Mytilus edulis: one gene and its partner. The protein of the gene in region 1 binds, or shares a complex with, the protein of each later gene. Links are inferred from orthologs where the notes say so. Each region holds a gene or a part of one and is shown in the gene's direction. Other genes may lie near its edges.

Region 1 (7,590 bases):
TTTAGGTAATTTAAACATTCGGAAGTGGGTTACACTAATAACTGGACCGAATGACAGGACCGAATGACAGGACCAAATGAAAAATGCTAATAACTTTTTCGTTTCTCAAAGGATTGATCTCAAAGGACTAGGGGCTATAAGGGCCATTTTTGGCCCCACCCCCAAATTCCATTTAATTTGTCATGTTGTAAGTCTATACCATAGACCTTCTGAAAATAATCGAATTTTGGGTCTAGCTCGTTTATTCTGTTGCCTAGCACTCACTAAAATGGCGGAGTTAAACTCATCAAATATGATTATTATACAGCTTAAATATATCTATATTTGAAATTGAACCTGTTTAGCATGTAGTGAACTTTACACTTGTACACTATTTAAATATTACATAATTAATTGCACATTTTTGCCAATTCACTGTTGTTTCTCCCTAGCAACATAGCTGTGCCCATGGCAACCGCAATTTTTTTTCTATTTACAAGATTTAATTTTAAATATATTGAAACAGAAAGGCAATTTAAAATGTAAATTTTAAGAAGAACACTCCAAGGTAAATATTACGGGGGAAAGCAATATTGAAACACCAACAAACAAAACAAAACACCGGGTATTGCTGATATATACAGATTGTGCATCTGATGCTGGGTGGGGTCCCACTTATCAGCGACAAGAAGAATAATATAAAGACACGACACATTTAGCGCTTAGAAATCTTAATATTGATTATCTTAAATAAATAGATACAGACACATGCATTAAAGGGTGTTTTCAAAAGTCAGTGTATTTCCATGATCATGACAGTAGTTATGTTTCCGGAAGGGGTTGGGGTTGAAGGGGGGCACTTCTATTTACACCTTTTTAAGCTTGAATAAGTGAAAAGTTGAGAAAACTATCAGATATATATGATATAACTTTTTTCCTACGCAATTTATGAAAAGGTATATATTTTTAAAATGTAAAACTGGGTAAGGTGACAAAACAACGGCACCCCCTATCAATTAAGTATTGAAGTGCACCCCTCCAAACCCCACCCCCTTTAGACTTATGTAAAGGATCGTTAAGGTTGACTTTTCCAAATTTATCTTATTTTTATTATCTATTTCAGTCGTCAAGACTTATAACCGTATCATTCTATAGAATTACAAAACTGGAACATGCTACTATATCAAATTAATCTGTATTCTTAGATTTTTTCTATATTCATTATATATATATATATATAAATATATTATTTGTTTTATTGTAGTTTTTGTCAATGTGACTAGTTTACTCAGTTTTGCCTTCACTAATCTTAGCGTCGTATGACTTGGTCTTTGATCATCATGACAATATTCATTATATATTCGTCAAAATCATTGAAAACAAGAATGTGTCTTTAGTACATGGATGCCTAAATCGCAAGCCTAACAATGGCCAGGAAATCCTAAGTTAGGACAGGCCCAAAAAATCAGCAGATTTAAGCATGTTATTTTTGCGATCTCAAACCCCCTCCCCTTTTACCTCTAGGCAAAGTAGAAAAAAAATCAAACACACAATACACACAGTAAAATTTACTTCAAAAAAAGTTTGAGTCTGATGTCAGATTCAACTACCTTGACCAAACACTTAAACCTGAAGCGAGACACAGGGACAATCGGACGAACAGACTGAAATACGCACATACGAACAGACGCATACACCAGAAAACATAATGCCCACAAATGGGGCTTAACAACAAAGCCGGGTCACATTTTAAAATTTACACTGCATTTTTACGCATGATTATAAAACTATTCAAAACATAACCTTTAAAAAGGTAACAGACATGTGGTATGCTTACAGACTTTAGACTCTTGTTTCTATGCATGGAAAGGTCAATTATCCATATATACTGAACGGCATTAGAAACGCAACACTCATTTTGTTAATTTTTCTTACCAAATCTTGTTTGATTTTCTTACAACTACTTTGCATGCTTATCATACTTCTTTCTCCGTGTTAAAAATCAAAATCTAACTTACCTGTGGTTATTGAGCATACCGAGTTTTTGAAGTCGCACGAATTTCTTAAAGCGAAATTTTGGACCCATGAAAGATTGTTTCAGTTGTTTTGCTTTGTGAAACAGTTCTTTCAATCCTTTGCCTCACTTAAACCAGTTTAAAAATGTTGCATCTCTATTTTGCCAAGACTGAGAAACAAAAAACTGAATAGCACCTTAAGAATACTGCAAACATTAAAACATAAACGTGCTGCAACCACACTGAATGGCTACAGAAACTTGTCTTACTGTCCTTCCGACAACGATACAAGTAGACAAGATGTGTTGCTGGCCATCAATGAACAGATAAACGTTTAGAGACAATGAAACGTCAACAGAATTTGATTACGCAACGTCATTTGCCAAACATGTTAACGGCCGCAACGTCAACTGCTAATCAAATTACCGAGTGCCATTGAGTATAGATTCATGCCATAAATGTTTCCCATCAACTGAATTGCCAAAGAATCAACTGAAGGAAAACCTTAAATGCCCTCAAGTTCCAACCGCATAATTGCCAAAACCAATTAATGGGTTGAACAAATGCAAAACCAGAAGGTGTAAAACAGAACCCAAAACATGTCGGACAGAATTTGTTGACCTTTCTAACAATTATTTTGGCGTTTGCAACATGCAGTCATTGCTTTTGACCGTGACACATTCATTCAAAAATAACACAAAAATAATTTAGTGTTGCGTTTCTAAAGTCGGTCAGTATATATATATACATTTGCAAATTTACAGATCTTACATTGTTGGGTTGATGTTTAGACGAGTTGTATATACATGATGTACATAGCCATGTATCAGCATCACTGCTGGTGATCCAATGAATAAATCTGTTGTAGAGTTGTCACAGGCTCAGGCATACTTATATAATAATATATACATGTTTATACAGATATATGGAAAGTCTACCTTATGCCGTTTCAAATTTTATAGAACTTGTTCTCTTCTATGCACATTACCCACAAAGACACATCCAATGTAGGTAGTTTCATTTTCGAAATAAATCTTGTGTTTCTCGCCCCCCCCCCCCCCCCCCCCCCCACTTTTCGTTACATAAATCATGGATCTGACCCTAATACCAGAGAGAGAAGATTTCCCCATTCAAACAACAAATTTTGAATTTATAATTAGCAAAAACATCAGAAATGTACAGATTTTGTTATATTGAAGGTCTATCTAAAATTTCATAATTAAAAAAATTGTCCTCAAAGTTGGTATTGACTCCCTTGCACATGAAGTTTATAGCTGTCAGATTTTTTAAAGAAATCTAACTAGATAAACTAACGGAAAGATAATTAGGAATACACTTTACATTCATAAACAAAAAAAAAAGTTTCTATAGGTATAAGAATGCATAAACTAAACTTTGTCAGATGAAAAGGTCCAAGTTGGACGGCAAATTTCAGCTTTTTATTGCTCCGCTTGGCTATGAAAAATATAAAATAAACTATCGCACCAACCTTGCACCAAAAAGATTTTTTATCCGAAGTTTGATATGTATGAACTTGTCAAAATGTTAAAATTTCTAATTGGTGCAAGCATGGTGCGGTGGTCAAAATTTAGAAAAACCATCAAATTTTCGGTATTTTTGCTTATTTTCCCAATTATGACGTCATTTGCACCTACCATTGTGACATCATTGAACCTTTTTTAGTTAAATAAAAACATTTTTTTTAAATCATTTACTCATATTCTAATAATTTATGGAGAAAAATCTGCTCTGTTAGAATTTTTATAATCTTGTAAATCTGGGGCCATTTTAGGCCATTAAAGCCCCTACTCCTTTGAAATATAATAAGATTTTATCATTTGATAAATAGATTTAAGAAAAAAAATAAAAAGTTTTGTAAGAAACTTTAGAAAACGTGACATGACCAACTCTGATAATGACAGGACCAACATCGAGAATGACAGGACCAAATAAAAATTCTAATAACTTTTTTATTTTTCAAAGGAATTATCTCAGATTTGAAATATAAAATGGTATGTCATATTTTGAAACCTAAATGTTATAAAAAATATAGATTTATTTTCGAAAACTTTCGAAAACGTGACATGACCATCGCTGACTGACAGGACCAACAACGACAATGACCGGACCAGATGAAATTGCTCATTTCTCTTTTATTTCTCAAAATATTTTTCTGAAATTTGAAATATAATAAGATTTCATCATTTGATAAATAGATTTAAGAAAAAAAATTAAAAAAATATGTAAGAAACTTTAGAAAACGTGACATGACCAACTTTGATAATGACAGGACCAACTTCGACAATAACAGGACCAAATAAAAATGCTATGATAGAGATCAATCCTTTGAGAAACGAAAAAGTTATTAGCATTTTTCATTTGGTCCTGTCATTCGGTCCTGTCATTCGGTCCAGTCATTAGTGTAACCCTTCATAAATACTCATCATGATGTTTGATTACTAGCAAATTTAATTCAAATTTAAATATTCGATCAGATGGGGAAGGTCTAAAACGCGGAAGTGGAAAACGCGGAAGTGAAAAATAGGTGTATTATAACTAATATCTCTGGAACCGCTTTAGCTAAATCGACAAATAAAACTGATTCTGAAAGCTATTATAATAGGCTATAAGATAAAATTAAAAACATATTTATTTAAATATGCTTTGTTACCGAAAAGTTGACCGGAAGTCTTTCTTAGTGTGACTCTGGCAACACATTTTTGTACATTAAAACTTAAATTGACGAAAAAGCATATAACCCGGTCAAAGTCTGTAAATTGATTCTTGTAGACATTTAAATGACAAATAATATGATATAAAGAAAAAAATAAATATATTACTATAAAAGGGCAAAAAGTTGACCGGAAGTCACCCTTGTACACAAATGTTGAAGTAAAATTTTCAACTTTGAATTAAAATTCACAAAAATATAAAAAGCCCGGTCAAATTCTGTCAATTGATTCTTAAAGATATTTAAATGACAAATAATATGATATAAAGAAAAAAATAAATATATTACTATAAAAGGGCAAAAAGTTGACCGGAAGTCACCCTTGTACACAAATGTTGAAGTAAAATTTTCAACTTTGAATTAAAATTCACAAAAATATGAAAAGCCCGGTCAAATTCTGTCAATTGATTCTTAAAGACATTTAAATGACAAATAATATGATATAAAGAAAAAAATAAATATATTACTATAAAAGGGCAAAAAGTTGACCGGAAGTCACCCTTGTATACAAATATTGAAGTGAAATTTTCAACTTTGAATTAAAATTCCCAAAAATATAAAAAGCCCGGTCAAAATCGAGAACAAGATTCGAAAAGACAATTTAATAACAAATGATTTGATATAAATAACAATAAAAATATATCAAACTAAAATTGCAAAAACTTGACCTGTTGCCTAGCTTGTGTTTTAATCTTGACCCCCCTTTTATGGAAAAAAAATAATGACTAAAACTAGATATAAAATACTTGCTATTTTTATTTCATTTAATCACATTTCAATAGTATATAATTTCTGATATTTCATGTGTTCCATTTAGACATTAACAACCCTCCTCCTTTTTCACCCGGGTTTGGGACCGGCGTTGGCGGAGTTATTGTTTTTTTTTCTTTCTTATTTTGCTTTATTATTTATTGATGCACTACACTCAGTGGCTTTAATTTATCTATTTATTATCTCTTTTATGTAGGAAAAATAATGTTCAAATTAATTTCAAGAATAGGTATTGTTAACATTTTTAAAATTTATTTAAAATTTATCAAAACTGTAAATTGCTATATAATTTAAGTTAAACTATCTATATGTACTTCGCAGAACCAGCTGTTTCCTTTCATATTTTTTAAGCACAAGACCGATGTGTCCAGACATCACACATTTTACGCCCTGTTTTTCCTTCACAACCTACCATATCCTCTATTGTATCAGGTTTTCCACAGTGACAGTTTGTTGAGATAATGTGGGTTTTAGTTTTTAAATTTTTAGGAGTTTTACCGAAATATTTTTTTGGAAAATGTGTGAATTTACCATTTTCAAGACCATGAATTAAATGTTCTCTCATATATTTTTGCTCGTATGTGATATGAGTACCTCCTTTAAACCCAGTTTGACAAAATTCAAGAGCATTTGCAATTGCAAAAAGTCCACAATCTATGCTGTTTTGTTGTTTTTGGTATTCTTATTATTAATTTTTTCTTGTCTTTACCGTAGATTTGCGTTAACTGATATTCTAATGAAGTTGTTAAATTTAATGATAAGCTGTCTAGAAGATATATGTTTCCATCTCTAGTTTGAAGAGACAAAACCCAATGAGCATTACCATTATGGTGTATTTGTACACTTGGTGACTCTTGTGATTGAAAACCCGGTACGTCTAAACACTGCTAAGGACTCCTTAGTGCACTAAGGACTATACAATGCCACTAAGGACTAGAAGGACTACTGTTATACGTGTTATATTTAGATGTTATGTTAGAGATTGATATTTAATGACTAAATTTCAAATTTTATAGAAAAATAATCATATATAAAAAAGATATTCAACATTTTCTAGACACGTGCCCATTTTTCTTTGATATACCGAAAATCAATGAACCGATTGACACGTGCCAAATAATATAACAACTGATCAAACAATCATATTCTTTAATTTAAGTAATTAACAATTGTATCGAAAAGATTAATACTTGATTATCATTATAAAATGTGTTGTTCTTGTTTAAAATGATTAAAAGGACAAATAATTTTGCTTTTGTTTTATTTATTTCCCGACAAAGTTACATTTTTGTGTTGTATTTGCCATAGGTTTTATCTTTGATGTGCGCCAACTAATAAGTAAGAGTGTGGTCAGCTTGGTAAAATGTTTATGTGAGAGACATGAAGACAAAATGAATAAATATATTTATAACTTTTTTGTTTTTATTTTAATTCCGTCAAAGATGCGTGTATATACAAATGGCTTCACTAAAACTTGAGTAAATTCCAATAAACTATAAATCATGATTTTTATTTTTCCACTGTCTATTACTGCTATATACATCATATACGTAATAGTACGAATAACGATTGAATTGAAAAAAAAAATCATTTATGGACAAATAACAATTGTGAATCAATAAATCATGTGTTCAAAACGGCGATAAACTGGAAACCAAAAAGCATACCAGAACTTGTGAAAATTCTCCACGAACTAGTCAAGCTGGAATTTGCCGACTTAAGACGAGCACTGTACAGCCAAGGCAATTACCTGCTGTTTGGATACTATAAGCGCCACCAATTATTGTATCAATGCTGGCTTACAAAATCAGCTGATCAAAAAGATCGTCTTTTTCATAAACTTATGAAAGACAGTGACAAGTCCAGATTGACTGCAGAAAAAGAAAAAACTGTGACAAGTACTCTGTATGACTTTACCATGCCATTACCCCCAAACCCCCAAATTTTTTTTTCTCATCTATAATATGTGTTTCCCCCGCATCTTCTTCGATTACACTTAGTTCAAGTTTTTTTTAGATTTAGGAGTTGAAAATTCTGTTGATATTTTAGGCGTTTTATTAGGTTTTATGCTACCATTCGTTTTGGAAAAAGAGT
Region 2 (7,887 bases), on another chromosome or scaffold:
AGCCAAACGGACTCCCAATTTTCTGCAAGAATCTTACTGTCGGTCGACAGAAAGCCTAAATTATCATATGTCTATCCCCCGGTCAACTTTCGGGGATTTTCTATTGTTTGATATCTTGTCATCTGTTTAATGATGTTTACTAGGTTTGTTTGATGTCATTTCACACGTTTAATGTGCATTTTCTAGGTTCGTTTGATATCGTGTCATACGTTTAATGGCGATTTTCTAGGTTTGTTTGATGTCATGTCACACGTTTAATGGCGATTTTCTATGTTTGTTTGATGTAATGTCACACGTTTAATGGCGATTTTCTAGGTTTGTTTGATGTCATGTCACACGTTTAATGGCGATTTTCTAGGTTTGTTTGATGTCATGTCATACGTTTAATGGCGATTTTCTAGGTTTGTTTGATGTCATGTCATACGTTTAATGGTGATTGTCTAGGTTTGTTTGATGTCATGTCCCACGTTTAATGGCGATTTTCTAGGTTTGTTTGATATCGTGTCATCTGTTTAATGGCGATTTTCTAGGTTTGTTTGATGTCATGTCCCACGTTTAATGGCGATTTTCTAGGTTTGTTTGATGTAATGTCACACGTTTAATGGCGATTTTCTAGGTTTGTTTGATGTCATGTCACACGTTTAATGGCGATTTTCTAGGTTTGTTTGATATCGTGTCATACGTTTAATGGCGATTTTCTAGGTTTGTTTGATATCGTGTCATACGTTTAATGGCGATTTTCTAGGTTTGTTTAATGTAATATTGTCACACGTTTAATGGCGATTTTCTAGGTTTGTTTGATGTCATGTCCCACGTTTAATGGCGATTTTCTATGTTTGTTTGATATCGTGTCATACGTTTAATGGCGATTTTCTAGGTTTGTTTGATGTCATGTCACACGTTTAATGGCGATTTTCTAGGTTTGTTTGATGTCATGTCACACGTTTAATGGCGATTTTCTAGGTTTGTTTGATGTCATGTCACACGTTTAATGGCGATTTTCTAGGTTTGTTTGATGTCATGTCACACGTTTAATGGCGATGTTCTAGGTTTGTTTGATGTAATGTCACACGTTTAATGGCGATTTTCTAGGTTTGTTTGATGTCATGTCACACGTTTAATGGCGATGTTCTAGGTTTGTTTGATGTCATGTCACACGTTTAATGGCGATTTTCTAGGTTTGTTTGATGTCGTGTCATACTTATAAAAAAACTATATATTGCAAATGTTTATCTAAATGAGGAAGGCAGATTCCTTGAATTTTAGATACTGCGTTTAGCACTATGGTTATGGAGGAGAAAGGAAGTATTTGGGTGAAAACTGCAAATCGTTGTATTGTTTCGTATATAACTTTTAATAACGAACGGTCTAGTTGTAGATATCAGTTCAAATTACTTTGCTGTTAAACTTTATTTACGTGTGGCTTTCTTTAAAATGGAAATAAATCCGCGTTTTATTAGTCAATCATTTTACAATTTCTAAAATATTAGTGCAAGAAAGATAATTCAATCATGTTGACTAATTACAATGTTTATTTGGTACCAAACAGAAGTCACGTTTTCCGTCCAAATAGGTTATATAACAAAATGTTATGCAACACAATAAGTAATCGTTGAACGATCTTTCAATACATACTTTAAAACATCTAATATGTTTTTCTATTTTGTGTTTTTGTTTTTTATTCTTCGTTTTCTAGGCATGGCGATATCAGTTTGTTTCGACTTATGAGTTCGAATTTTTCTTTGATATCTTTTCCTCTTTTTTTGTTTGGATATATTCACAGATATCAAACGTCGTTAATTAAAAAAAAGGAATTAAAAGGTCTGAAAGGAATTTATAACATTTGCAGTAGTAATTCTACCACAGCATACAGAAGTGCATTTTACCAATTGATGTATCTCTATATATGATATAAAAGCCGAATATGTTTAAAAGTTCAAAAACTAATACAGACGTCGAAGAGTTTTTGTAGCTCCGTGTTGAAGGACTCATTGTGATTTAGAGATGAAGAACAGCAACAAAAGCGCTATTCCATTGCTTTACTTTTTGTGTTGTTTTTATTATGTTTTGTTGTTTTTTCACCTTTCATTTGATACCTTCTAATTTCTATAATAGATGCTACTTTGTTTAAGATTCACAATTATGCATAGAAACTATTTTGTTTTCAATATGTACTTCTTTCCACCTAGTATGGGGGTTTTCTACCGGGCCCGATAAGGGGGTGTTAAATCTCATAAAATCTGTCCAAAATATGTTTTTCTATTATATTGATAGTGTGTTTCTCGTTCTGTGTGAGGACCGTAGAAAGTTGCCACGTGCTTGATATGTATGTGTGCTCTTCTGTAATTTCAGAGTTATGGTGTATTTATTCTTTAGATAACTTGTCTTATACATGTATGCCAATTCATTTTCCTCAATGTAAGGACAGGTTGAACACTAAAATGTGAATAAGACTCAAACCACCACCCACTTGATCCTCTTTCATATTTCACTATAAAACATTTAATGGAAGCGGGATCAATCTCCATAAAGTTATACATCAGTCCGTACTGCAATGGTAACCGGACTTAAGATACACCAAACCAGGCACGTCATATCTGGGAAACAGGCGGATATGTTTAACCCCGCCATATTCTTAGTGTATGTATGTGCCTGTCCCAAGTCAGGATCGAGCCTATAATTCAGTGATTGTCGTTTGTTGATGTGTTACATGTTTGTTGTTCGTTCATTTTTGTACATAAATTAAACAGTTAGTGTTCTCGTTTGACTTGTTTTACATTGTCATTTCGGTGCCTTTTTTAGCTAACTATGTGGTATGGGCTTTGCTCATTGTTGCATGCCGTACGGTGACCTATAATTGTTAATTTCTGTGTCATTAGGTCTCTTGTAGAGAGTTGTCTCATTTGCAATCATAGATACCACATCTTCTTTTCTGTATGTATGCCCGCATCTTTAGAATACATTCATAGTTTTCGTATTATTAACAATAACAGTAAATTATGTGTTCTACAAGAATCACCAGTCCTTCACCTTTCATTCGATATCTTAATTTCACATATATATGCTACATTGTTTAAGATTTACAACTATGTGCGAGTAGGAACTATTTTGTTTTATATATGTACTTCTTTCCACGTATGTTCTTTTTTTTTACCGAGCCCATTTGGGTAGTGTTTAGTCTCACAAAGTCTATCCAAATTATTTTTGCAAAGAATACCGCGCAAACCGCGGTGCTAGGAGGTCGTCTTAAATTTGCAGTGAGGTAAGACTTTTGGTTCCGTGTTGAAGGCCTCTCATTGTCATTTCCTATAAACTCCTACAAAGTTCCTTAGTGTTTTCAAAAGAAAGTAAATGTACTAATTTATAAGTTGACGATCTAGTCCAATGATATTTCTTGATAAACTTCTTACGTATATCACTATAATTTGTACATTGCAAAATAAAATGAAATTCATCCTCTTCTACATTTACATATCACATATAATACACATTCTACTGTTTTTACTTATTCTATAAAACGACCAGTTTCAATACATAAATTGTGTAAGGACAGGCGAATTTTCGTTATCAATTTACGAGCTATTACAGGAATACATTTTTGTAAATAAAATTATAATTCTACATTTGACACGATATACTTATATATTCTAAACTTTGGTGATGTTTCAAGCGTAAAATGCCACTCTTGTTGATCCGTTGTTTGGTTAATTGTAAAAATGAACTATCCAAACAACATGAACAAAGTACCCATTGGTTGTCCCAATAATTATTCATACCAAGATCATATAAAATTATTTTAAAACAAGTTGCCCGGTTTTTGCATTTATTTCTATTTGCTACTAGTTCTTTGTAACATGACTTTATAATACAATTTTCACTACCGTTAATTTTAGTCCATAATTTGAGCATCCTAAAATTTCGCTCATATAACAATAGACATCTTCCTAATGCATACTATACCTTCACATTAGAAGTCATTACATTTGGTGCTCTATGAACACCCCAAACTTCACAACCATACATTAAAATACTACATACATAAGTGTCAAATAAACTTATAGAAGTGACAGTGTTCAAGTGTAAGGATGGTGCCCTTTTCCTTTACTAAACGTAGCTTTCCTGTCTTGTTCAGCACAGTGGTTTTGAGTAATATAGAATTTACAACTATAATGAAATAACACACCCAGATAACAAGTGATTTACAATATCTAATGGTTTACTATTATAAATCCATGTCTCAGTAAGACTAATTTTCCCATCTTTACGAAAAACTACTATCTTTGCAAACTGCTTTCCATTGTTTACAGGATGATTTAAAGTTTTTGAATAACTGTTGATGTTTAAACCGCCATTTCAGTAAAAATATTTTCGAAAAAAAAACCGAAGAAATGTAATTTGTAATTACCATTTTGCTCTTTTTTTAATGGATCCGTAAAATTATTTTAATCAGATGATTTATTTTCTGTACATCTATTGTTTGAATATCATAGTAAATAAACTTTCAGTCGCTAGTATTTTCTCCTTGTCCCTTATATTTTCTTCTTGTCGCTAATATTCTTCTTGTCCCTAATTAGTGAGACCTGAATTCTCCGGGTTACCGGTCCGTGCGTGTATTTATAATCCATTTACTACTTCCGATGGAAAATGGACAAATTCAAAAAGCGAAAATAGCTTTTTATATATTTACCGTAGCGATTTTTTATTGACACTCATGGCTATTTGCAAATTTTTTGTTCAGGGCCATTGTAAATATGGAAGCAGCTGTAGATTTGAGCACCCAGTTGGGGGAAATGCAGGTACATTTTGTGTATTTTTATTTTTCAGATAATCTTCATGAACAGATGAATATATTTTTTTGCCAGTAATTGAAGTATAAAACAGAATAGTTAACACAGGCACTTGTGTCAATACATATTCATGCATCAATACTTTGATAGTAGACATTCCAATGGATAGGGATGGGGTCTGCTAGACAGTCCGACAGTTCAATATTAGTCTGATGGATCAATAGTCCGACAGTTTAAGGTTCATGTGGACCCTATGGCTAAAATGGCCATATTTTCACCTCAAAATTTACTATGAGTACAGGCAAACCTGTGCATCTGGAAACGTTTTAAGGCATAGCATGCCCTAGATAAATAAAATTCAAATGCATTGTATGATTTAGAAAATTCATAACTTAACTGGATTTTGCCGTACACTTTTTTTCGTCCCTGCAGAAGATGATAAAATTAACAAACAGTTGAGTTTACCTTGATATGGTCCACTCAGGTACACAGTTTAAATAACCAATTATTGTCATGTATCTATTGTCCATCTAATGTCCATGTCAATCAATAACGCTCACTTCAATTTTTACCTGTGGGGAAGTTCTCAAACCTGTTTCCCAACTTAGTTTATTTTGGCACCTTCTGGAGGAATGAAAAAAAGTGCACGGCAAAATCCTGGTAAGTTTTTATTTTTCTAAAACATAAAACATATTTGAAATTATTTTATCTGGGGCATGCTATGCCTGAAATTTTTTACAGATGCGCAGGTTTGTCTGTACTCAGAGTAAATTTTGAGGTGAAAATACGGCCATTTTAGCCATAGGGTCCACATGAACCTTAATAGTCCGACAGTTCTATAGTCCGACGATCTGATAGTCCGACATATACAACCAAATATGATATAAACTAATCACAGACACAAGACGTTCTACCTGGCTTTTGAGACGTGACAGACCTAAATTTTCCAAAACTGATGCCCTATTATTGTCATACATTGTATGCAGATCCAGCCCCTCCCCTTTTTCATAACAAAATTTTGGTTGATTATATACGGAATCACTGAAGCATGACTGGAGCGGCCCCTCCCCCTTAGGTCAGTCAGCCCGCCCTCCTCCAACCCTTTATGAAAAGTTCTGGATCCACTACTGATAGTCCGAGATTACTCTGACGTCCAACGGCAGTTTTGCCAGACAAGCTCAATGAAGCTGGGACGGTGGGATGTCAGAGCTCGCCCCATATCAAAAAGTGGATATTTGCCCACCCAAAATAGATGCGCTGCTTCGTCACTTCTGGTGCCGACTGACGGCCGTGGAATTATATAAATCGGGCATCAATCTGTTTATTTTTCAAATTTATCTCTTCATTTATGTTAGTTTCACCTACCTGCCAACCTTTTTTTCCACATTTTAACAGATTTCAAAGAGACCCATCGATTTCTGCATTTTGACTATCAGTTTCAAATGGACGTCAATTTACGAGAGAGTTCATGGCCTTGAGCATGTTGAGACTCAATTATGCAAATATTTATATTTTTTCACCTCCTTTATAGATCAATGTTTAACATTAAGTAGCCAACCACGATTTTTCACCTCCTTTACAGGAGATCGGCATTAAGCATTTTAGTTCCGACCACGATAACAATCGGAAGGTCTCAGAAATTTAGATAACTTGCATCGTAAATGGACGAGGTACATGTATACATTATGGTCATTTCGATAATCATCACTGTTTTCTCGTGGTCACGTGATAATCTTTGAAAATGAAAGGCAATATGCAGAAATCCATCGGTCACTGTGAAAACTGTCTAATTATGAGAAAGTAAAGGTTGGCAGGTAGGTGAAACTTACATAAATGAAGAGATAAATGAAAAATGAACAGATTGACGCCCGATTTATATAATTCCAAGGCGGTCAGTCAACACCAGAAGCCACAAAGCAGCACATCTATTTTGGGTGGGCAAATATCCACTTTCTAATATGGGACAAGCTCTGACCTCCCACAGTCCCAGCTCGTCTTGTAAAACAGCCGTTGGACGTCAGAGTAATCTCGGACTACGCTACTGATCATTTTTAACTTATTTCACAGATACCCTCCTCCGATTCCACCTTTGCCCGTATTTAACTCAATGCTTACATCAAAATGCGTTCAATATCTATTCTATAAAAATATAAATTTTTTTGAAATCGTAGATACTTATTAAAGTTATTTTGAAATTGAATACTGTCGCCAAACTGCCGCCCCCCCCCCCCCTTTTCTTTTATTTATTCTTTTTGTTAAAAAAATAATAATAAAAAAATATTCTTTCATATTCCAACCTATATCATGTATATTTTAAACTATTTAACATGTTTAAAACACTTGAGAATTTTACACTTTTCACGTGAAGAACGGTGCATAGTGTGAGTTACCAAGTTGATGATGCAAGCACAGGAAGTGTCAACAATGTTAATTTTGTTTTCAAATTAACATCTTTGTCTAAGTTGGAAGTTTCCATGAAAATGTGGTATATAAAGGACTCAATAATAAATTTATGCAGTTACTTCTGAATATATACAGTAGTACATGTACATATAATGTACCACGGCCATGGCTACAATATAGATATATTTCAGGATATGCTTACTCTGCACAGAGACAGTTATTTGGAGGAGGGGGAGGTGGTAGAGGAGGGGGAGGAGGAGGAGGGAGATCTCAACAAAACCCGAACCAGTACAAATGGCAGGCCTCTGACTACAGCCAAAGGCAGGGACAACCTCAGGCAACACAACAGATGTCTACTAATGATGTTATGTAAGACTGTACATTACTTTATGGTCCTATACAACATTGTACAAGGTTTGAAATCGCTGATGGCCCCTAAAATTTGGTGTGGGTTAATAAAATTGCTGCTTTTCTTGTGTAGGGACTATATATGTGGGCTACACAATTTAAGCTGTGGGCTACAATTGCCAAGTCTTAAATTCAATCCCTGTCCTAAGTTTTACATGTATGACAGTCTTTTAAATTTAAATTGAATTCCTCTCTGCACAGATGATTTCAGCAATCCATATATAAAGAAAATTGAAGGGGCCCTTGACCAATGCCACAATGCTACAATGCACAATGCCAATGCTACAAA

What was found.
Region 2: the proteins of mRNA export factor GLE1-like (region 1) and nucleoporin NUP42-like are in contact, whole or in part, in a crystal structure (PDB 6B4I), measured with the Homo sapiens proteins. The link is inferred for Mytilus edulis from reciprocal best matches to the Homo sapiens genes GLE1 and NUP42. Residues at the interface, in NP_001003722.1 of Homo sapiens: Ile385, Ile593, Leu598, Asn599, Trp602, Arg603, Ala606, Gln607, Leu609, Asn610, Gln636, Tyr637, Gln638, Val639, Gln640, Lys643, Met644, Ile646, Leu647, Glu650, Asp651, Tyr652; in NP_001357375.1 of Homo sapiens: Asp185, Asn186, Val187, Leu188, Phe189, Gln202, Phe203, Gln204, Ser205, Lys206, Lys207, Phe208, Leu210, Gly211, Lys212, Ile213, Pro214, Leu215, Lys216, Pro217, Pro218, Leu222, Leu223, Asn224, Val225.

Annotation. Positions count from the first base shown.
Region 1 is NC_092349.1:81,811,440-81,819,029, reverse strand, and holds the start of mRNA export factor GLE1-like, read left to right. Parts: upstream 1-4,428; 5' UTR 4,429-4,489; coding exon of another isoform or gene 4,490-4,493; intron 4,494-7,590. UniProt on the Homo sapiens protein: Required for the export of mRNAs containing poly(A) tails from the nucleus into the cytoplasm. May be involved in the terminal step of the mRNA transport through the nuclear pore complex (NPC).
Region 2 is NC_092355.1:51,273,280-51,281,166, reverse strand, and holds the start of nucleoporin NUP42-like, read left to right. Parts: upstream 1-4,619; 5' UTR 4,620-4,711; coding exon 4,712-4,796; intron 4,797-7,381; coding exon 7,382-7,559; intron 7,560-7,887.